3 linked regions of the Callithrix jacchus genome follow. The protein of the gene in region 1 interacts with the protein of each later gene in a biochemical or structural test. Links are inferred from orthologs where the notes say so. Each region holds a gene or a part of one and is shown on either strand. Other genes may lie near its edges.

The links.
Region 2: the proteins of CUL1 (region 1) and FBXW7 form a complex in vitro, tested with the Homo sapiens proteins (3 studies listed by BioGRID). The link is inferred for Callithrix jacchus from reciprocal best matches to the Homo sapiens genes CUL1 and FBXW7.
Region 3: the proteins of CUL1 (region 1) and CAND1 form a complex in vitro, tested with the Homo sapiens proteins (6 studies listed by BioGRID and IntAct). The link is inferred for Callithrix jacchus from reciprocal best matches to the Homo sapiens genes CUL1 and CAND1.

What each region holds. Positions count from the first base shown.
Region 1 is NC_133512.1:99,021,132-99,028,202, reverse strand, and holds the start of CUL1 (cullin-1), read left to right. Parts: upstream 1-2,898; 5' UTR 2,899-3,077; intron 3,078-3,165; exon of another isoform or gene 3,166-3,284; intron 3,285-3,429; exon of another isoform or gene 3,430-3,556; intron 3,557-4,211; exon of another isoform or gene 4,212-4,659; intron 4,660-7,071. UniProt on the Homo sapiens protein: Core component of multiple cullin-RING-based SCF (SKP1-CUL1-F-box protein) E3 ubiquitin-protein ligase complexes, which mediate the ubiquitination of proteins involved in cell cycle progression, signal transduction and transcription.
Region 2 is NC_133504.1:44,160,657-44,167,639, forward strand, and holds the start of FBXW7 (F-box/WD repeat-containing protein 7), read left to right. Parts: upstream 1-2,625; 5' UTR 2,626-3,619; exon of another isoform or gene 3,620-3,710; 5' UTR 3,711-3,786; intron 3,787-6,983. UniProt on the Homo sapiens protein: Substrate recognition component of a SCF (SKP1-CUL1-F-box protein) E3 ubiquitin-protein ligase complex which mediates the ubiquitination and subsequent proteasomal degradation of target proteins.
Region 3 is NC_133510.1:51,919,712-51,926,782, reverse strand, and holds the start of CAND1 (cullin-associated NEDD8-dissociated protein 1), read left to right. Parts: upstream 1-2,182; 5' UTR 2,183-2,527; coding exon 2,528-2,595; intron 2,596-7,071. UniProt on the Homo sapiens protein: Key assembly factor of SCF (SKP1-CUL1-F-box protein) E3 ubiquitin ligase complexes that promotes the exchange of the substrate-recognition F-box subunit in SCF complexes, thereby playing a key role in the cellular repertoire of SCF complexes.

The sequences.
Region 1 (7,071 bases):
CTCGGAATCCGCTTCAGCGTTCTTCAGGCACAGTGCTGAGGGGGCAGATGAACATTACGAAATTGTCTCTGACCCCACAGCACAGACCACCTAGTTTAAAGGCACATGTGAGAAGGCAATCAGGGAGAGGTCACAAAGCTTGAGTAGAAGGTGTAAGGTGGCGGGCTTCCTGGGAGGGGGGTGTGAGCTGGATCTTGAAAAGTGAGCATGAAAAAAAAAAAAAAAGAAAAGTGAGCATGATTTGGAGTTGGAGGAGAGAAGGGGGAACAGTACCTGTTAGAGGAACAACTGAATGGCATTGAGAGTTCCTTTTGGGAAGTAGCAGGAAATAAATTTGGAAAAGCAAGTTAGGACAAGATATGGTAAACCTTAAGTGCCAGGTCCAAATTTGGATTGAACCCTACACACAATATGGAACTACTGAAGTTTGGAAGGACAAAATTATAATGATGAAGGTATCAATTTACAAGGAATAATCTGCCATCAGTCATGACACAAGCGGAAGGATAAAGAAGAGGTAAGAACCAGGAAGAGCATTTAGAAGGTTAAAGAACCAACAAAAGTGTGGGAGAATATCTTAGTAAAGGAGTGGATATATACAGAAGTGAGTCACCGGGTCACATTATGCACTGATCAGGCTGAGCGATTTCACGCAAATTGCCTAACATCTCTGAGCCTTAAGTTTTTTTTAAATGAAAAATGGGTATGATGATAATGACTGACTCAAAACAGGCAAAGGATTTCTCTAGGATGGTGACAGCTCTGGGATACAAGGTGAATGGGCCAGGATTTTGAGTTTGTTTCCAGGTCTGCATGAATTAAAGAATGTGCTATGAATGGCAACAGGCACATTCACTTTGTGGAAGATGAGGGGGGACTAATGGCTGGTGAATGTTCCACGAATTATGAAGAAATTACTCTTTACACTCTTATGATGTAGGTATTTTTATCCCAAATTAACAGTTGACTTAACTAGAGCAAAAATTAGTAATTTGAGTTACTGGATATGACTCAAATTTGAGTAACTGAATATAAACCAAAGCCCACTAAAATCTAAAACTTGGGCTTTTCCAACTAGTACATCATATTGTCGAGTTGAAAGTTGTATTTTATGTCACTGCTTTTGGCCTAATGTTCTAGTCTGTTCAGACTATTTTGAATTTTGATTCTGACATCCATCAAATTAATTATCCCTCCAAACTTTGGGTCATCTGAGAGGGACATCGATTTTGCTGAGCTGGGGGAGAAAGATGGAGGAAGGAGGTTTTAAAGTAGAAAGGGAGCAGCAGGTGGCCTTGACCTGTTAGGCAGGAGGCAAGGTTATCTGCCCAAAGTAAATGCAAATCTGGTTGTTAAGTGGACATAAAAGTCAATGGAATAAATTTGCTGCTAAGAATGATCGTGTAGGCAGGTGAGGGTAAAGAATAGAAAGGAGTTAAGAACCAGGAATCTCGGAGGCAGTGAGAAGAGGGAGGGTGGTGTAGGTGAACCAAATACTCCTATTAAGAAAAAACAGAGGGCAAAGGAAACATACAATAAAGGGAAGGCTGACCCACTCAGCCTTTCTATTAGCTGGAGGAAGTCACAGAATAGGAGGCCAAGAATATTTCCCACCCCAACACCCTGCACAAATGAAAGGATTATGACATACCTAAGTGACAAATGCATTACTATTACAGATACTTAGATGTAGACAAAATACATTTTTTTTTTTGAGACAGTCTTGCCCTGTTGCCCAGGCTGGAGTGCAATGGCATGATCTCGGCTCACTGCAACCTCTGCCTCCCAGGTTTAAGCAATTCTCCTGCCTCAGCCTCCCAAATAGCTGGGACTACAGGTGTCTGCCACCACACCTGGCTAATTTTTTTTATCTTTAGTAGAAACTGGGGGGGGGGGTCACCATGTTGGCCAGGCTGGTCTCGAACTCCTGACCTACGTGATTCGCCCACCTTGGCCTCCCAAAGTGCCGGGATTACAGGCATGAGCCACCGCGCCCGGCCAAGACATTTCGATAGAGGGGATCACATAGACCAGTGGGATGTTTCTTCTGAGACAAACCCATGTTATGCAGTAAACTGTGGACTCTGGGGACAGCCCTCTGCTCTGACTGAGGCCTTCTGTCCCGAGTGGTACTGGAATCTGTGTAGCATTTTAGTTTGGAGGAAACAAAATTACACTCATCACATCTTTTGCCCAGATGACAGAATTCGAAATCCCCCGGGGGTTGTTCGTGGAATGAGCCGCTCGGTGACGTTGTGAGCCGTGCTATTAATCAGCCATCCCTCACTAGGTGCGGGGGGGCCACCACGCTTCCTCCAGCCCGTCACCATAGCAGCAGGTGGCTATTTGTGCTGCCAAAATTAGTATTTAGTGTGAATATTCCAAATAGCCAATTATGACAGTTAATTTCAAATGAGATGACTTCGAACTACACGTGAAAATACTATTTTACATCATGCCTCATGCCATCCCTATATGTAATCAAAGCCTTCTAGTTTTGATTTGTCCTTCCAAAGACCAAGGGTAGAGTAAATGTCAAAATCTGCCAAACAGCAGTTAGTGAAAGAGTCTGAAGAGGGAAAGCCTAGTTAGGTTTGACCTTAGAAGTGATTTTTAAAAAGAGACACATAGATAAAATGTGTCTGGAGCCAAATCCTAAGGCCTGCAGGTGTTAAGGGGGGGGTCGAGAATCAGCTGCACGTTCCTTGGAAGTCCGCGCCGATTCTGGGAGGCACCTGGCCACCTCTGACTTTCTGATCTGTGGTGCATCCCCCAGTCCCGGTCGACAAAAGTGGGGAGTCGAGTTCCAGGCCAGCGGGGGACGGGGGTTGTGCGCACAGGGGAGGGGCAGGAGGACTGCGAGCCCCTCTCCTTTGGGGTGCTTCGGGCCCTTTCTTCAGAGGCTGGTGGTGTCCCCGACCCAAGCAGCTCATTCTCGCTGGCGAGGTCCGAAGTGGCGGGAACGGGTCCTCCGCGGCGGCCCCAAGGCGAGGGAGGCTGTAAAACCTGGCGGAGGATCCAGCGCGCCGGGTCGGGGATGGCTCGGGTGTCAGGGGGCAGGGGCCGTGGGCTCGCAGGTAAAGAGCCCCACGTGAGCGGGGGCCACGGCCACAGAAGGGGCGCCCCCGGGGCGGCGGGCGGGCGGGAGCTTTCCGGGCCCCTCCCGCGTCTCGGGCTGGCGGGGCGATGGCGACGACGGTTTCCCGGCTCCCCCGCCCCGGACGCCGATGGCGGTGCGTTCCGGCCCTCCCCCAACAGCTTCTCCCCCGCGGTCGCCGGAGCCGGTGAGGCCGGGAGGGCGGGGAGCCGTGGAGAGAAGGCGAGAGGGCGGAGGTTGCGTGGTGCAGGCGGCGGCGGCGGCGGCGGGAGGAGGAGGGCCGGGCGGGCAGGGGAGGAGGAGGAGGCGGGCTCCGTGTCGCACGCAGCTCCAGGCGGGGCAGCCCGGGTGGCTGAGGGACGCAGCCAGACCTTGGCGGGACGGGGCTTTCGCCGGGGCCCAGGCCCAGCGACCAGGCGGAGGCGTCGCGGGAGCCTTTTGGGCACTACGGAGATGCGGGTGAGTGTCGGCCGCCGCAGGGCCGAAAGGAGGTGGTGGCGGCGGCGCAGGCCCGGCCCCGAGCCGCGGTGTCGCAGTGACTCGGGCCGCGGTTGCCGAGCCCAGGCGCCGGGCGAGGCCTGAGCCGCCGAAACGCGGCCGGGCAGAATGGCGGCCGGGCCCGGGGGCTCGTGGGCGGAGGACGCCGGGGGCGGCAGGGGAGCGAGCGGGGCTGGGCCCTGAGTCACCCCGGACGGGCCGGGGCGGCCAGGCCCGGACTACGCACTGGGAAAAAGCCCGATTCATCGCGCCCAGAGGCGGCGGCCTGGTGGCGCCGGCCCCTTTCCCCGTCGGGACCGGGCTGGGTCCGCGGAGGCTGGGCCGGCGTATGGCCCCGGGCGACTTGGGCGTTCGCGCCTCGCCTCGTGAGGCGATCTCCGCGGGACACCGGGACCCCATGCCCTTGCCCCTTCTCGCCCTCACGACCACGCTTCTCCTCGGCGCCGCTTTCCGGCCGACGCGTGCCCTCCTGTGAGCCCCGGGCTCGCGCGCGCAACCAGCCGCCAAGCCGGGCTCTCTCGCTTTCCGGTTCCCTGCCCGCGGCTCTCGGGTTCCGCGCCTGCATTATTGCGACCGTGCAGGACGCTATTATTGGCTAACAGCCGTCCTTTTGCCCAGTTGTCCTCGGGGAGCGGGCTGGGCTGGCGCTCAGAGATGGGAGCCCGGCGGCAAAACCGAACGGAGCCCCACGGCGCCCGCCTAGCGCTCGCGAGTCTGGCCGGGCCCTGCGCCGCGGCCTCGGCGCGCCCCCGGCCCCAACGGGAGCGCGCGCCATGACCCTGGAGGTAACCGGGCGAGCGCAAGCTGCGGGGACTTGGGGTCCCCAGGCTCGGGGTTCGTGCGATTTTTGCCCCAAGATCTGAAAGACCCCTGTTTCTGCCACCGGTGCAATATTGTGTAGCGCAGACGTAAGATAATTAAGAAAGAGAGGAATGCTTGTAGACACTGCTTGAAATGAATCCCCAAAGTTAAGGTTTTCTGCCTGGCTGGCTTTGCCAAAAAGAGGATTCTCTTTTCCGACTGGGTCACTCTCGGTTGCTTCTGGTTCGTAGTAGGCGTTCGTGGTAAGTGCACAAATGCTGAATTGCAGTCTTCTTAAATATTTATTTGCTCAGTGTAATTGCTCTTTCCTGTAGTAGCATTAAAATCGTCAAAAGTTCTGAGTGGAGTAAACGATCACACTTTTTGGAATAATCTTAACGAAGCGGCAGAAGAGAAACTAGATTCCTTTTTTACTTCAAGCCAGGAGCTTCTAGGACCTAACGCCTCGCGGAAGTGTGTGCAGTTTTAAGTTTAACACTTCATTTCATGGTGCACCCGAAAATGTACCCAGTTTTTTGAAATCCTGGAGAGTGGATTATGTAGTAAAATATGTAATGACATTTAAAATGTAAAACCAGTCATTTTGTTTGAAAACAATATTTGGCGATGAGATTTTTCTTTGTTTAAAGGAGGTTTTTGGATATTGGAAAATGTTTTACTTCGAGGTTCTATTTGTTGTTTTCCATGGTGAGTCGAAATAGTTGCATTGCATTTCAAATTCCAAAGCATGCAAACACAAGACTGGCTCGCTTTAACTCTATTATGCCCATTTTTGGAGGTTTCAGGAGAGTGTTCCTTAAGCTTGAGAGGGATGGCTGAATTGCTTTCTAAATATGTTAAACTTCTTTCCTCATTGGCTTCATCTTTTAAAAACTGTTTTGTCAGACAACAAACCAACTTTAAATATGCTAGGGTTTTTCACCAATTTGTAAAAGCTTCCTTCCTTGAGAGCCACATGCTCAGGTCCTTCCCCACCCCCCACTCCCAATGTGTGTACCACATCAGAAGACAGACACGCATGCCTGAGCTGATTCTGCATGGTTTCCTTAGATATTATAGTTCATTAGACTCTTGCCACTTACTGAATGTTATCTTCTAGCTGTAATTAACTACAATACAGCCTTATTTCCCATACATTTCCGATTCTGAATTCCTTCAGCGCAGGGGATATTCCCTGTTTATTTTTGCGTCTCCAGAGTAACAACTTGGTTATGGTGGTGCCTCAATTGCTTATTTTTGAATGAGTGAGTTTTCTGGAATAATTCTAACTTAGTGTTTGAAAACATGCCCTGATTGTTGGCTGCAGAAAACACAGTCGTTGCACTTAAGCCGGTTAAGAATGCAAGCTTTATTATACACTTAAGTAAAATCGATTCTCTCATCTCTCCTTTGCCACTCTCCCTTCCCATTTCTCCACTTCGCACCTCCCCACAGCCCCCCAGTATCTAGTACAGGGCCCCAACAGAAAAATGCCCAGGTTTTCTATACCTGTGAAGTCCAGGAAAGTGCCAAGAGAGAACAAGTTGTGAAACTTTAGCTTTCTTTCCCATTAAAACTAGTTTTAAGATGCGGAATTTTTTTTTACTTTTTTTGGAAACACAATCAAACGCGATCAGGATCAGGTCCTCCCACCCCCGGTTGAGTATCCAGCTTTGCCTTTGAAATGAAGCAGTTTGGTAGTTGAGGCGTCTCCTTGTTGGAAAGGTGAGGCCAGCCCCTTGGTTCTGCTGAAGTGGGATAGGAAGTTGCTGTGGGAGGAACCATCCCTGGGTCACTGAGGCCCTTTCATCAGAATATCATTCCTAGTATACCCAGAGGCATTGTGTCTGTCTTTCAGCATGGAAAATTAAAATGAATGTACTTTAAATTGAGGAGTTGTTACTTGCCATTCTTCAAATTAAAAACATTAGGACCATAAGAACTTATGAAGGTGTTTTGGTTTGTTTTGTTTTGCTGTTTCAGCCCTTTGTAGGTCCCAAAGCCATGACCTTGAGTCACTCTGGAATAAAGTGTCTTTGGGGGACTGTCAGGTTCATTTTGAACTTGTTTTAGGTATGTCTGGAGAAAAGAGTTAACCATTTGAAGGGCCAATTCTAAGTTTGTCTTGCTTTTTAAAAATATCTGGGAGTTTATCCGTGTGTTTGCTTTGCAAATGAAGAAATGAACATTAAATGGGAAGTAGATCCAATTTGGGTAAAAGTCTTGTGTTTGCCGAGGACATAATTTCCTCTTTATAGAAGTTTCTTGTTTATAAAATGAACATTGAGTAAGCACACTATAAACAGGATGATAACATTTAATGACTTAAGTTTTTTATTCATGCATGGAGGTATTTCACTTCTAAAAATTCTGTGATGGAGAGATGTAGTCATTTATTTTTGCTTAGGTATAGAGCGTCTTGATTTGGGAGAGAGGACTTGAGTCTAGTTAAAGCTTACCTTTGCAGGGCCAGTATTTGCTCATTTGTGAAATGAGATGGTTTTTTAATTGACATTGTTGATTTCCTTAGGCCCTCAAAGTATGTGGATTCCATGGGAATGCCACAGCTTTGAACATTAACAGCATTTTGGGAAAAACGGTCTCAAAGAACATCAAGTATTGTATTCATGTTTGAAAAGCAGGGTTGTGAAGCCTAAGTTTGATGTATATTTTTT
Region 2 (6,983 bases), on another chromosome or scaffold:
TCATTAGAGTTCACTTTCAAGTGTAAAGGTCAAAAACCGTGTTATGTTTTAACACAGTATGTAAATCTTTATCATAAATTGATGAACCAGGGAAAGAACTATTAGCTAAAACTTCAGATTTTTTGGAACTTTGAATTAACTAGCTATTTCTCCTCTGGATTAATAAGCATACAAGGAACTAAAGAGATTCAGACCAAGTTGGAAATTGTGTGAACTTCCTTCTCTCCAGTCTCCAGTTGCAGCTGTTTCCTCCAGTTATCAAGCTGGGTGTTGAGGTGGGTATCTAGCCTAGTAAGCTTAGAGTGCTGTTATTAAATACTTTCTAAGTAGGTGGCTCAGGGCTTTCCTGAGTGCCATTCTGTTCTACAGCACTGAGGCTGTAAGGGGGAGCCACGGACAATGAAAACAGATCAGGCTGCCGAAAAACTCTATGTGGAACACACTTAACTGGAGGTGTTCTCTGCTGGGCTGCAGAACTCTGATGTTTCCACTCTTTTCCGTCAAAGCCCACAAAGCTTAAACTCTCTGAGGTGCTTAGCTTCACAAAATCCCCTAAATCTGTGTGTTTTACTCCTTTAATTTCCACCATTCCCCTGCTGTAATATAGGAAGAGGGGGGAAAACAAAAAATCTTTATATGGTAGCCATGTGAGACCATTACTTTTTGGTCTGATTAACTGTGAGTCTCATTTGGAAGGATGTAGCAGGGGATTGGTCATGTAAAGACAGAAAGATCCAGGGTAATTTAAGCAGGACTTTTTTTTTTTTTTTGAGACAGAGCCTTGCTCTGTCACCCAGCCTGGAGTGCAGTGGTGAGATCTCGGCTCACCGCAACCTCCGCCTCCTAGGTTCAGGTGATTCTCCTGCCTCCGGAGTAGCTGGTGTGATCTGCCCGCCTCCGCCACCGCCTCCCAAAGTGCTGGGATTACAGGCATGAGCCACCGCGCCCGGCCTTAAGCAGGATGTTTAACCTGGCTCTTGCAACTTCAGGTCAAGGGCAGTAAGGTCAGATGCTAAGTCTGTGAGACTCTCCTTGGTTTTGCCACATCCTCCTTTGCCCCTCCCACCACCTTTCCTGTAGCATTTTAATCAACAGGAGCCCTTGGATTTACCCAGTTAAAATATTCCTTAGTTTACCGTTTGCAGATGGTGGTGGCAGTAGTGGCAGAAACCCAGAGCTTCCCAAATTTGTTTATAATACACTTGCTCCTATCTCACCCCTCCTCGAGGTGGAAATACTTGTAATATCCATTACTACTGTTTTCAGAGGAGGTGGAATGTACTAGGGTCCAGCGACATAATTGTGAAATTTGCTTTCATTATTGTTGCTGCTTTAATGTCTTTCTGATACGATTGACCATTCTCATGCTATTCACTCAAGACAGATTTCTCAGGATTCGGATCCTTTTATTAAAAATTTTTTTTCCTGGAGAACTACACTTTAAACTTCATGAGTTTTTACTTGACGTTCCTTTCCAGGATAACGTCTGTAGGAAAAGCTGCACTAATAGTAATAATATTTGTTTTAGAAAGAAAATAACCTTTGAGTCAGACCTGAAACACAGGCCAACATTTCTTGATGACACTGTACACTGATGAACCAAGACGAGAAGCTCTCGAAAGCTCCAAACCGTAAGAAAGAACGATTCGTAAAAGTGTGGCACTACTAATGAAATTCTTCCCTTGAGAGTCAAAAATCCTTCCACAATCTCCCGGATGATGGTTCCCTTCCAATCCTCCCTCCCCGCCGCCCTAAAAATCTGCCCGAGGATGGGTTCCTTCCCCTGCCCAGCATTTCATCTCCTTTTCCACTGAAGACTCAGGTTGTGACTCTGTACTCAGGCCGCACCCCTGTTTCCTTTCATAGCTAGGGGGAGGGGAGGAATGTATTACAACTCATTTTTACAATGCACTGCAGTTTGAAAAGCGCTTGCACTTCCACCATATCCTATGAGCTTCGCGAGTGCCACGTGAGGAGGCATTCATTCATTCATTCATTCATCAAACATTTGCTCTGCCCGACCACACGTTATCCAGCGCTGAGTCTCACCCCACGCCACGGGAAGGGTGGGGCGCTCTCTCCCTGGGGCAGGTGCAGTGGATCAGGCCGTGGGGTAACTCCTCGATCAGTCCGGCTTTTCGAGGGCCTGTTTGGAGCCAAATGCCTCACCTTCGGGTGGTGCGCGCAGTTGCCTGAAGGCGCGGCCTGGGCCTCCTACTTCCTCCCAAAGGAGCAGTCCCACCTGCCCCGCAGGAAACCGCTACAGAGCAAGCTCTCCGGGCCGCCCTCGGGTCAGGGGTAAGATCGGGCGGCAGCTTAGGCTTGTCTCGGCTCCTCCCCTTCCTCTCTTCAGTTCTGACGCGGCCGTAGAGGCTGCAGCAGCGGCGGCGGCGGCTGCAAGTCCCGCGGCCCGAGGCGCACCCACCCGCTCGCCTATCCCCACTTCCTCTTCCCTTGGAGCGTCATCAGAGCGCGCCAGAGGCGCCCAGGGCGGGGTGGCTGGACTAGGAAAAAAGGCCCGCGGAGGAAGCCTCAGAGCGGAAAGAAGAGGGAGGGGGAGGAGAGCGGTTGCTAGGTGACTTGCGTCATCTGCAGGCGCCGCTCTCCTCCCGCCCCTCTCTCTCTAGAGTGAGGCGAGAGCCCCGCACAGAGCGAGGGAGACAGCGAACTGAGCTCCGGGCGCTGCCGCCGCCGCCGCCGCCGCCGCCGCCGAGAGTAAGAGCGAAGGAGCATCCGAGAGACTCAGCCCCTCTGCACTGGCCGCCGCTGAGACCTTCGCCCTCACCTGGGTCAGCGGGAGCCGCGGCCGCACACCTCTCCCCCCCTCACCTTCCCGGCCGGCAGCAGAGGCTGCACACGCCGGAGCCGGAGCCGGAGCCGGAGCCGGAGCCGGAGCCCGAGCCCGAGCCCGAGCCCGAGCCCGAGCCCGAGCCGGAGCCGGCGGCTTGGGGGGCAGGGAGGCGGCTACCGCGGGCCGGGACTGGGTAGCTGCTCCGCGGTGAGAGAACGCTGAGGAGGCGCCGGAGCTTCTGCCTCGTCCCGGGGCGTGGGGCGTGGGACCCCCAAGGTGTAGGGAGGGGGGTCCCAGCCGCAGCGACACATGCAGGAGCCGGGAGCGGGGGCGGCGCCGAGCGGAGCCGGCAGGGTCCCCCGCCTCGCCGCCGCCTCGGCCACCCGCCCGGGTCCGTAGCATCTTGCCCCGGAGTGTATGAGCCGGGGCCCCAACCAAGCTCTGCAACCACCCCCCCGGCCGGGGGGACTGGGACCCCGATGTGAAGCAGCGGCTGGGGCGGCGGAGAGAGCGGGACCGACGCCGCCGTCCTTTCCTCACCTTCCCCCTCCCCTCAGCCCCCTTCGGGGGTCTTCTCCCTTGGCCAGTCGCCGGCCCCCCGGCTCCTTGGCTGGACTCCGGGAGGAGTTCTTAGAGCCCCCCTCCCCCGCCCCAGCCCCCAGGGCGGCGGGGCCGGGGGGGATCCGGGGGGCCGGCCACAGCCTCCGCCCAGAGGAAACTTTATAAAAACAAAATCCAGAGCCTCCCAAACGTGACTGTCCTGGGAGAAGTGGCCCTGGACGGGCAGGAGTCGCAGCCTGAAAAGACCCAGGAAGAGGAAAAGAGGAGGTAAGCGGGGCCGCCGCCTCCTCGCCCCTGGCAGCACGGAAGAGACCCGAGTGGCCGCCTGGTTTAGCGACACGAGCCGCTTCTTCCTCAGGACCGCGCTGCCGCCTCAGTCCGAAGGAGGAAGGGAACCAGCCCACTTTCTCGGCGCCGCGGCTCTTCTCTAAAGTGTGAGTGGCCCCGTGAGAGGGAATTGAGGGGAGAAAGTGGGAGGATGCCGGCGCTTCCTCCTGGAGTTTTGCTGATGTTCCCAGGAGTGTTGGGAGTCACAAGAGGGTCTAGCTTTATTCACAGAAGGGAGAAGGTGTTAGGGAGGCCTGTATTTCGTAACTTTTTAACTCTGTACGAGTAATGCAAGTATGCAGGTTTCTCTTGGAGGAGTTCCTTCTTCAGAGTGAATACTCGCACCTTTCTGGCCAGTAATTGGCAAAGGGAAATTGAGGAAGCCAGAGGATGTGTGCGCACAGAGGCCATCTGTATCTGTAACCTTTTCCTGGTACTGTGGGTGTGTACAGTGTTCTTTTTGTTTCTGGGGTACTCTTATATAGGACCCCCGAAAGCAAAATTCCCTTTTTAAAAAAAAAAATGAAAAAACAGTCTTGGGAGATTTTCATTTAGTACCTATTGATACAGGAGTTAATCTTCTCAGTTCCTGGGTCTGTGTGTCAGGAGACACTGTAACAGATTTCACTTAGGAACTTGATTTCTTAGGAATCACAGCTTATCTGGGGAAGAGCATTTATCACATTAATCATTTTATAAAAGTGATTTTTTTCCCCTTCACCAAGTTTTTATTTTTTTTGGAGTAACATCTTAAATGACAACACTTTTTAATTTTGTTTGAGGTTTTGCTATTTTGTATTGTCTTTATTTCTGTATCAATTTAGGATACACTTTTGATATTTAATTCTTTCAGGAATGACTTTTTCCTTCCATTGTTTTAAAGTTGAAGTCTATAAAACCTTTGACTTGCATTTTAGTAATGTTCTCAAAGTACCAAATTAAAGTTTCATGGAAGTAATTAACATATCATATACAGTCCTTAAGGGTTAAACATAGAGTAGAATTTTATGTAAGCAGGCATAGACAGTACTATAGTGAGAATTGTGGTCCGTCTAGACAACTGTGTGGGCTCCTTCTGTCTGAAGCCACTGCTGAGAGTTGCTTTGTGGTAATGAATGTAAGCCTGGGGTTATCAGTCTATCTGAAGTTCTCCATTCAGGATCTTGATTAAATTTATTTAAAACTCAAACTTAACAATGTTTGGTCCTATTCTTTTAAAGTAATGAGTTCTGCAAGTTTATTAGCCTCTGTATTATGTGACAATTCATTTATAAATTCCATAGGCAATTTATTTATATATTCCATACCTGTGTCCATAAATTTTCAGGACACAGCCAGAGTTTGTGTTTCGAGAAATACCAGAACAAGCCTCAGTTCATCTTTCCTTACTTTTATAGTGTTTTATTATTTCTACCATCAGTTTCTCCAACTCTTGTCTTAGAATAATGTTTCTTATTTCTTTGACCACTTTTTCCTCCTCTGGAACTTCTCCCACTGTACTGTTTTTCTTTAGTTGCCTTACTATGTTTTGGTAAGGAACCTTAAATTCTGTCTTTTAAGTGTGTACTGACATGAAAATATTGAATAGTGGATGTAATGTTAGACTTAGAATCAGAGTCATGTATTTTGTTTTTCACAAAGATATGATAAAGAGAAATGTAGTCATGTAGAACCTGTATTTTGAGAAGGAGGGGAGGACAAACTAAGAAACAAACTGTAGTTTGAATGTAGGTTGCATTCTGTCAAAGTTGCTCACTAACTTTTGGACTACTTGTATTGCTTTAACTATAGATTGGTTAAAAATTTTGGTAATTTTATTTTATGTTATTTTGAGATGGAGTCTCTCTCTGTCACCCAGGCTCGAGTGCAGTGGTGCAGTCTTGGCTAACTGCAACCTCCACCTCCCAGGTTCAAGCGATTCTCCTGCCTCAGCGACCCCAGTAGCTGGAACTACAGGCGTACGCTACCATGTCTGGCTAGTGTTTTTGTATTTTTAGTGGAGATGGGGTTTCACCATGTCAGTCAGGCTGGTCTCAAACTCCTGACTTTTTTTTTGAGATGGTGTTTCGCTCTTGTTACCCAGGTTGGAGTACAATGGCGTGATCTCGGCTCACCGCAACCTCCGCCTCCTGGGTTCAGGCAATTCTCCTGCCTCAGCTTCCTGTGTAGCTGGGATTACAGGCACGCGCCACCATGCCAAGCTAATTTTTTGTATTTTTAATAGAGACGGGGTTTCAACATGTTGACCAGGATGGTCTCGATCTGTTGACCTCGTGATCCACCCGCCTTGGCCTCCCAAAGTGCTGGGATTACAGGCGTGAGCTATCCCGCCCGGCCACAAACTCCAGACTTTAAATGATACACCCACCTCGGCCTCCCAAAGTGTTGGGATTACAGGTGTGAGCCACTGTGCCCAGCCAGAATTTATTACATGTTTGAGTAGAAATGACAAAGTATTTGGGGTCCCTGTCTTTGAGATGCTTTGACTTGTAGGTGGTGGAGACAATCAAACACAAATTGCACGAAGCTACTGGGGAGATAGACCAATATTTAAGATCACACTAGATGTTAGATATTATATGGCACTTTATAGCTGTTAATGTATTTTTACATTTTTCACTAGTGAAATGTTGCTTTTGTGTAGAACTAATTGAAGTGTTAAAGCAATATCTGGAAACATTTCTTTTAGGAAGAAAAGAGCAAGTGGAGACAAAATATTTAAGACTTTTAGAATGGGGAAGCATAAGGGACAGATAAAATTATGAAGTTGGTCTGAAGGGAATACAGATGGAGGTTGTTGAGTAGTGTTAGGGTCAGTTGTGTTTGTGTAGACACATGATTACAGTCAGAGAAGCAATTGAGAAGAGTGTTCCTGAGAGAGTAGTTTCAGATGACTGGGGAGAAATTACATTTTAGGCAAAGCCATTGTGCCTGGATTGGGTTTTTTTTTTTTTTTTTCTCTAGGAACCAACATTTTTACGTCATGGCTATTGAGCTATACAGAAGGAGTGAAAAAGAAGATGCTTAGTGTGTTGCTGGTAGCTTCTTACAAAAAAGAGTTTGGAAATGGGACAGTAAACTTTGTTATGGATGTTAAATTGTAGGGCAACAGTTGGGTACTGGTGTAGTTTCCAGACAGCAAGATAGTTCAGCAGGTAATACACTGAAAATGTAAAGTTGGAATTATTTTCGATATATTTAGGTTTTCCAGAGTACTGATGGAAAGTGAAGAGCTGAAAAATGGGTGTTTTTAGTTGGGAGTGGAAAATCTGAATGAATGAGACACTCCCTAAAATAGATGTTT
Region 3 (7,071 bases), on another chromosome or scaffold:
TTGCCTATGACACCTAGTAAGTGGCCGTAAACATGATTTATATTTCAGGAATCTGACTCCAAATATCATAGTTCAGCTGGAAATTCAAAAGTAAAAGAATTTACACACAAATCATGAAAAAGACAAACCATGATTTGGCTTCTGAGAGGACACAGGATAAAAGAAAGTATTATTGTTAATATTAAATGACTGAGACCTGAGATCCACACATGCAAAACACAACCTGCCTCTCTCTCTCTCTCTCTCTCTCTCTCTCTCTTTCTCTTTGTGTATGTGTGTGTTACATTAAATATTATGGAAAGTCTGCTCAGAGCAAAAGGAAATTAATTGTGGCTGAAGCACTCAAGGACAGCTCGATAAAAGACATTAATGATGGCAGATGGGTAAAATAAAGGAGAAAGATGGCATTACTGCGGACAAAAATGTATTATAATCATCTATTACATTTTAAATTATTATTATATTTTTTCGAGATGGAGTCTCCCTCTGTCACCCAGGCTGGAGTGCAGTGACATGATCTCCGCTCACTGCAACCTCTGCCTCCCGGGTTCAAGCAATTCTTGCACTACAGCCTTCCGAATAGCTGGGACTACAGGTGCGTGGCATCACACCCGGCTAATTTTTGTATTTTTAGTAGAGACAGGGTTTCACCATATTGGCCAGGCTGGTCTCGAACTCCTGACCTCGTGAACAGCCTGCCTTGGTCTCCCAAACTGCTGGGATTACAGGGGTGAACCACCGCGCCCGGTCTTTATATCACACATATTAAAGTAAAAGGATACATGAGGGCAGATCGGAGTTATGCATGAAATTTAGACACATATTATGAGGCTAAATCCCGTTTCATTTGTTTTATTAACTGCTATTGCCTGACTCTGAAGTATTCAGTAATAGTTGACTATAGAAAAGAATGGTAAAGGTCAGGTAGATTTGATCAGATCTGAGGTATGTGGAAGTAGAGGGCTATTTTGTTGTTTTTAACAAGAGTATCAAGTGAGATTGATTTTTCATCTCTTCACCCAGCTCTCTTTCAGAAAGGCCTGTCAGCTAGCTCCATCCCTAACACTTTTAGGGGTGTTGACCCTTAACTGGCAAAACTTGTGTTTAAAATCCCAAATATTAAACAGATAAAAAACGTAGATAGTAAATACTTCGATAACTCATTTCCAGGGAATTGTATGTCTGAGGGAACAATACACGGCTGCAGGTCCTACGAGGCCACAAAAGCTAACTACAGAGATAGTCTTCAGCTATTTTGAAGACAGTAGGCCTTGACTACCGTCATCTCTCGCATGCCCATTAGTCTTACTACGGTCCTGCTGGCGTCAGAGAGGTGGCTGGCTCTACGACGCACGGAAGGAGTGTGTCCGGCCAGAGAAGTGGGGAGGCTCGGCTGCCTTGGGAGGTGCAAGGAGTAGCGCTAGAAAGTCGCCGTTAGGCCTCTGCCAAGAACACCAATGGATCCGCAATGCGCCTGGCCAAACTGCAGCGGCTTAGCTCTTTTAAACACCGCATAACAGAGAAAGCCTGTATTGGAGAAAATAAGAATCTGCGGCAGAAACGGAATGCGCGGTGATTCAAACATTTTTATACAGCATGGTTCCCTCGCCAGACTGCAAATCCCAGCATCCACTCCTTCCACGGGAGCCAATGAAAAAGCTACAAGTTCCTGCAGCCAATCATATTCTGAGCCAGTGTATCACCCGACTGAATTCTGGGATTTGTGGTTTTCACGTGGCAACATTTACACCATGGTGGTTAAGGCAATACAGGCCACTCGTCTGATCCCAAACGAAACCTCCCTGTTTTAATTCTTATGTTGGTTCTGCAAGCTGACTCCTTAATTGTCGTTACTCCCAGGCTTTCTCCTTCTCAAAGATCGTAATCTTCTTCTCTTAATGTCACTAAATAATCAAATTATTTTCAGATTAAGGCCCACTCGTTCCGCTCATCTCCTGTCCTTTAACCGTCATTTAAAGTATCGCGAGAACAGCCCCTTTTAGTGATTGTCATGCCTCCAAAAGGCGGGTCACGCGAAAATTGACACAGGCTTCAGCCAACCGAATTGTGCTTTAACTCTCGTCTGCAGCGTGCTTGGGCGAGGCCTCCTGAACTCTGACCTTAGCTTTCCGTAGCGTCCTGCGTCTTCCGCCCCCGTCCCCGAGCGAAGTAGGCGGGCTTTGGCCTTTTGCCCTAGGGAGCGAGTGCGGAGGGAGTGGGAGCGAGACGGCCCTGAGTGGAAGGGTCTGGTTACCCTTACTGGCCGTGCTGTACGCCTCGCCGTTCATGAGTTCGTCCTTCCGCGAATAGCGCCGTCATTAGGCTGGTCCGGTAGCCTCGGCTTACCCCGGGACAGGCCCACGCCTCGCCGGGGAGGGGGCAGCCCGTCGAGGCGCCTCCCTAGTAAGCGTCGGCGTCGCGCTGCGACCCTGGAAGCGGGAGCTGCAGCGAGCGAGAGGAGGAGCTCCAGCGGCGGCAGCGGGCGGCAGCTCCATCAGCGCCAGCGGGCGGGATCGAGGCCGTCAACATGGCGAGCGCCTCGTACCACATTTCCAATTTGCTGGAAAAAATGACATCCAGCGACAAGGACTTTAGGTGAGGCCGAGATCCGACTCTCACTCCACCTCTGGGTTCCCCCAGCCGCGGCCCTGGCCGTCACGCAGGCCTTGCCCCACCCCTTCGGCCGCAGCCAGTAGCTTCGCTGCCCGGAGGTCTCTAGCCCACCGCTCCGCTGGCCTTTGGATCCCGGCGGGCCCCTTTCCTCTCCCGGCTTGTAACCGCCTCCCCCATTCGTTCCCCTAGGCCGTTGCCCGCCGCGGTCTCCAGGCCCCTTTTGCGTCTGTAAGCGCCCCCAGACCCTCCCCTGCGCCCCACTGGGAGGCGATTCTCGTGTCTCTGGTAGCGCGAAGGGGCGAAACCACCCACCATTGTAGAGAACGGAGTTGCTCTAGCGGGGAGACCGGGCCCCGGGCCTACCCGCTTGCCATCCTGCGGCGCTAGGCTGCCTTGCTCGCTGGGGCCCAAGCTGGTGGGGGACCCAGTACTCTTCTACCTGCTCGCAGGTGCGCGTGGGCCTGGCTGCATTCAGGTGTAATGATGAACTTTTGCGCTTTTGGCCGATGGGGTTATATACTTCTTTTTTGGATAATTTCTTTTCGTGAAGGTTGGAAGAAGGGGGAGGGGAGCCAGGACGGAGGAAACTTCGCTCGTAGGGTTTTCCCGCCAGCATCACTGTCAGTTCCCTCGTCAGGTAAAACCCACTTAGGAACTCGGGATTTCAGTCTCATATTTTTATATCCAAAATCACTACCAAAGGGGTGAATTGCTGGATCTGAATTGTAGCAGACGGATCTTCTTCAAAAGGAAGCGATGTTTAATACGGAGCTGGTGAATGTGAAGCTTTATTACAGCAATTCTGTTCAGGAGATTTGTAATGTTCCAAATTGTTGTAATATGCATAGTGAAGATTTGTTATATTTTTACACGTTATCTTTTTTCCTTTGTATGCTATGGTGGTTGTTACATTCTTACCCATCTCCCATCTCTTCACAAATGTTCTCGACCTAAAAAAAAAAAAGAAAAAAGGCTGCTTATTTCCTTATACCTGTTTTGTTCTCTAATGCTTCACTGGTTGTAATTAGGGTGCACTTTAAAGGAAAGAACAAATAGTCCTCAACTAAAATTGTGGCTAAAGAGCTTGTTTGTTTTATATGAACAATATGGTTTAACTCCTGAAAATATGTCCAAACCGTGTGGGAAGAACTTTTCAGATTTGTGAACGGAAAACCATGAAAAAGTAGTAGTTGTATTCCTGATTAAATTGATAAACTGGGTTGTTAAAATAGTCAATGACCACAAAACATCGTATTACTTAAAAGCTTCCTAGATAGAAATATTTTTTTAAGTGTTGTATTTAACACTTAAAAACCAGTTTGCTAATGGTAAAAATTTTAATATTGTAACTTTTGGGAGGTGACATAGATTTGTTTTATGTATTTTAGATTTGTTTAGTTGTAGGGCCGAAATTAAGATTCTTGGGGGAAATAAGTTTTGTGTTGTTTTACGGATTGGAATGCTGTTTGATTCTCTTTGGGGCTTTGCTAGCTTCCGATTGAAGTCAAAGATGTGTGGCGTGATTTCCTCCCTCTTGCTGTCAGTTTGGCTCATCCTGTAAAAGTGGTAAATTTTATTCTGATTGTGGTTAGTTTCAGGCTAAAGGTAACACTTTATAATAATAGAATTTTGTTCAACTAGTACGACTTCTGTATGGGTAATAAGTTTAGAAAGGCTAAAGAAATTATGTGGTGATACCATACATGTGATTATTGACTAAAGCTTGCTTTCTTAAATTTCCTGGGAAAGAAAGATAACATATACATACCTAGTTTTTTTAAAATAAATTATATGAAAGAAATAATCCTCTATGAAATGACAGTCAATGCCGAATTTGATAAAGATTATGAATTTTGGTTGTACCGAATCAACATTGCCTGGAGGATTGGTGTTAATATTAATATATTCCTAATAGTTCGTGAATGTTAAAGGTATGTTTAAAAGCAGTAAGTGATTTTCAGTAATTTGACAAAATTAAGGTTTTTTTAACTGTGTTCTAAAAAACATTTTTATAATATGCTGTAGCCATCTAGTTAATACACAAGTCTTCGGAATTAAAGCACTTTATGTATTCAGTTTAAATAGACGTTTAAGAATTAAAATAGTGGCCGGGTGCGGTGGCTCAAGCCTGTAATCCCAGCACTTTGGGAGGCCGAGGCGGGTGGATCACGAGGTCAAAAAATCGAGACCATCATGGTTAACATGGTGAAACCCCGTCTCTACTAAAAAAAAAAAAAAAAAATACGAAAAATTAGCTGGGCATGGTGGCGCGTGCCTGTAATCCCAGCTACTCAGGAGGCTGAGGCAGGAGAATTGCCTGAACCCAGGAGGCAGAGGTCACGGTGAGCCGAGATCGCGCCATTGCACTCCAGACTGGGTAACAAGAGCGAAACTCCGTGTCAAAACAAACAAACAAACAAACAAACAAACAAAAGAATTAAAATAGCATTTGGAGTCAAGTATTTTGAAATTTTTTCTGATATTTTTAGTATAGGCATTTATTTTAATACATTTGTTCTTTTTTAAAAAAAATAATGCTTTGTTCTCTTTAGAAGTTTATTTTGGCTTAAATACCAAGATTTGTGGCTGCATATTTAAAAATACCTAGCACTAGAAGGATCTTGAGGGCAAGGTTAATTAACATTATGGAATGACCACTATATGCAAAGCACTCTGCCTGTACTAAGGACTAAGAAAGAAAACAGTGCTGCCAAAATGAAGGGCCAATTTTATTCTCCTCTTGGTAGAGTCCAAAGAGAATTTGACCTAGTCACAAGATCTGGGTTCTAATCATGCCTGAGTCTTTGTTATCAACTGTAAGATTTTATGCAAACTACTTAATTTGAGATTTTCACTTCTGGGAGGCGTGGACATGACTAATTACAAAAGGTTGCTTATAGGCATAAAATTTCAGGTCTATTTAGATAATTACGTTGTCCATTAATGCAGAGAAGGTAAAGGAATGAATGCAGGCTTAAAAATTTGGAAATTTCAGCATTTTAAAAGAGTCTTTTTGTAGGACTTAATAGATTCAATTTATTGAAAAAAATTGCCAAATATTTCTTTTGTGTTTTAGTATTGGACATTATTTAAAAGTTGGGATATTAAGACTTAGGAGAAATGGGGAAAGCATTAGGATGAGAAATGTTGATGTTAGGAACCCTGATGCCATATACAGAGTTAAAAAAAAAAAAAGACTAGGAGCTCTTTTAGGGGGAGGCATTTGTGTGTTCTAATGACCAGGATAGTGCCTGTTACCTACTAGCCTTGGTTTAGTGAAAAGTTATTATTTTTAAAATAATGGATGCTAATTCAAATAAACCTTCCAAAGAAAAATGAAGAAACATTCTTTGGGACAGTACCTTAGAACAGTGCTTCTCATCACTTCCTCCCAAAAAGAAACACTTTTGGAGTATACAGAGACTTTTTGCCAGAAGAGATTGACACCAGTTTATATAGTTATTTTAAGGACCTCTAGGGATGCATGTTCCATAAAGGAGTAAAGAGTTACAATGTAGCCAATAGGTAGGGGATTTCCTGGATACCATAGTGAAAGCTTTAATGTGGATGAACCATGTGACACTCTGTGAGTATTAATATTGAATATTCAGTGGCTTGAGGTAACTAAGTTCTGTTCTCTCTCTCTCTCTCTCTCTCTTTCTTTCTTTCTTTCTCTCTCTTTCTTATTTTTGAGACATGTCACTCTGTGGCCGAGGCTGGAGTGCAGTGGCACAATCTCACTGCAACCTCAACCCCCTGGACTCAAGCAATCTTCCCACCTCGGCCCCCGGAGTACCTGGAACTACTGGCATACACCGCCAGGCCTGGCTCATTTTTTTGTAGATGGTGCATCACCATATTTCCCAGGCTGGTCTCAAACTTGAGTTCCAGCAATATGCCCACCTTGGCCTCCCAAAGTGCTGGGATTATAGAGTTCAGTCACTGTGCCCGGCCAGTTGTTTTCATAGACTTCGACCAATTGATTTAAAGTATTCCAAGGAATCAAGAGCTAAAGAAAATAAGGTACTCTCTATATACATAATAGTTAATATCAGTGCTTACTGTGAGCTTGATTTTTATTTATCCTTGCAACTTTAGTAAACGAGAATAAAAATCTCATTTACAGTTGAAAAAACTGAGATTTGGAGAGAAACTGACATTTGTTCAAGGTCAGTTAGATTGTAGGTCTGAGACTTATAAGATCTCTTTACCTCCAGAGCACGAAGTCTTTACTCATCTCTGTGCCACTTTTCCAGGGTTTAGTCTAGGGGATGTTAAGATGCAAGCCTTAAATTTCAGCTCCTTCTAAAATTAGGCTTACAGAATATTTCATGCTAGAATATGGCTTTAAAAATTCCTGACAAGGACTACAAAAAGTTTAAGGTCTAGTGTGTAATGCCCTAATCTACATGCTTGTTGAATAGTTAAAACACTATTGTGAAAAGTTGAATAACCCAG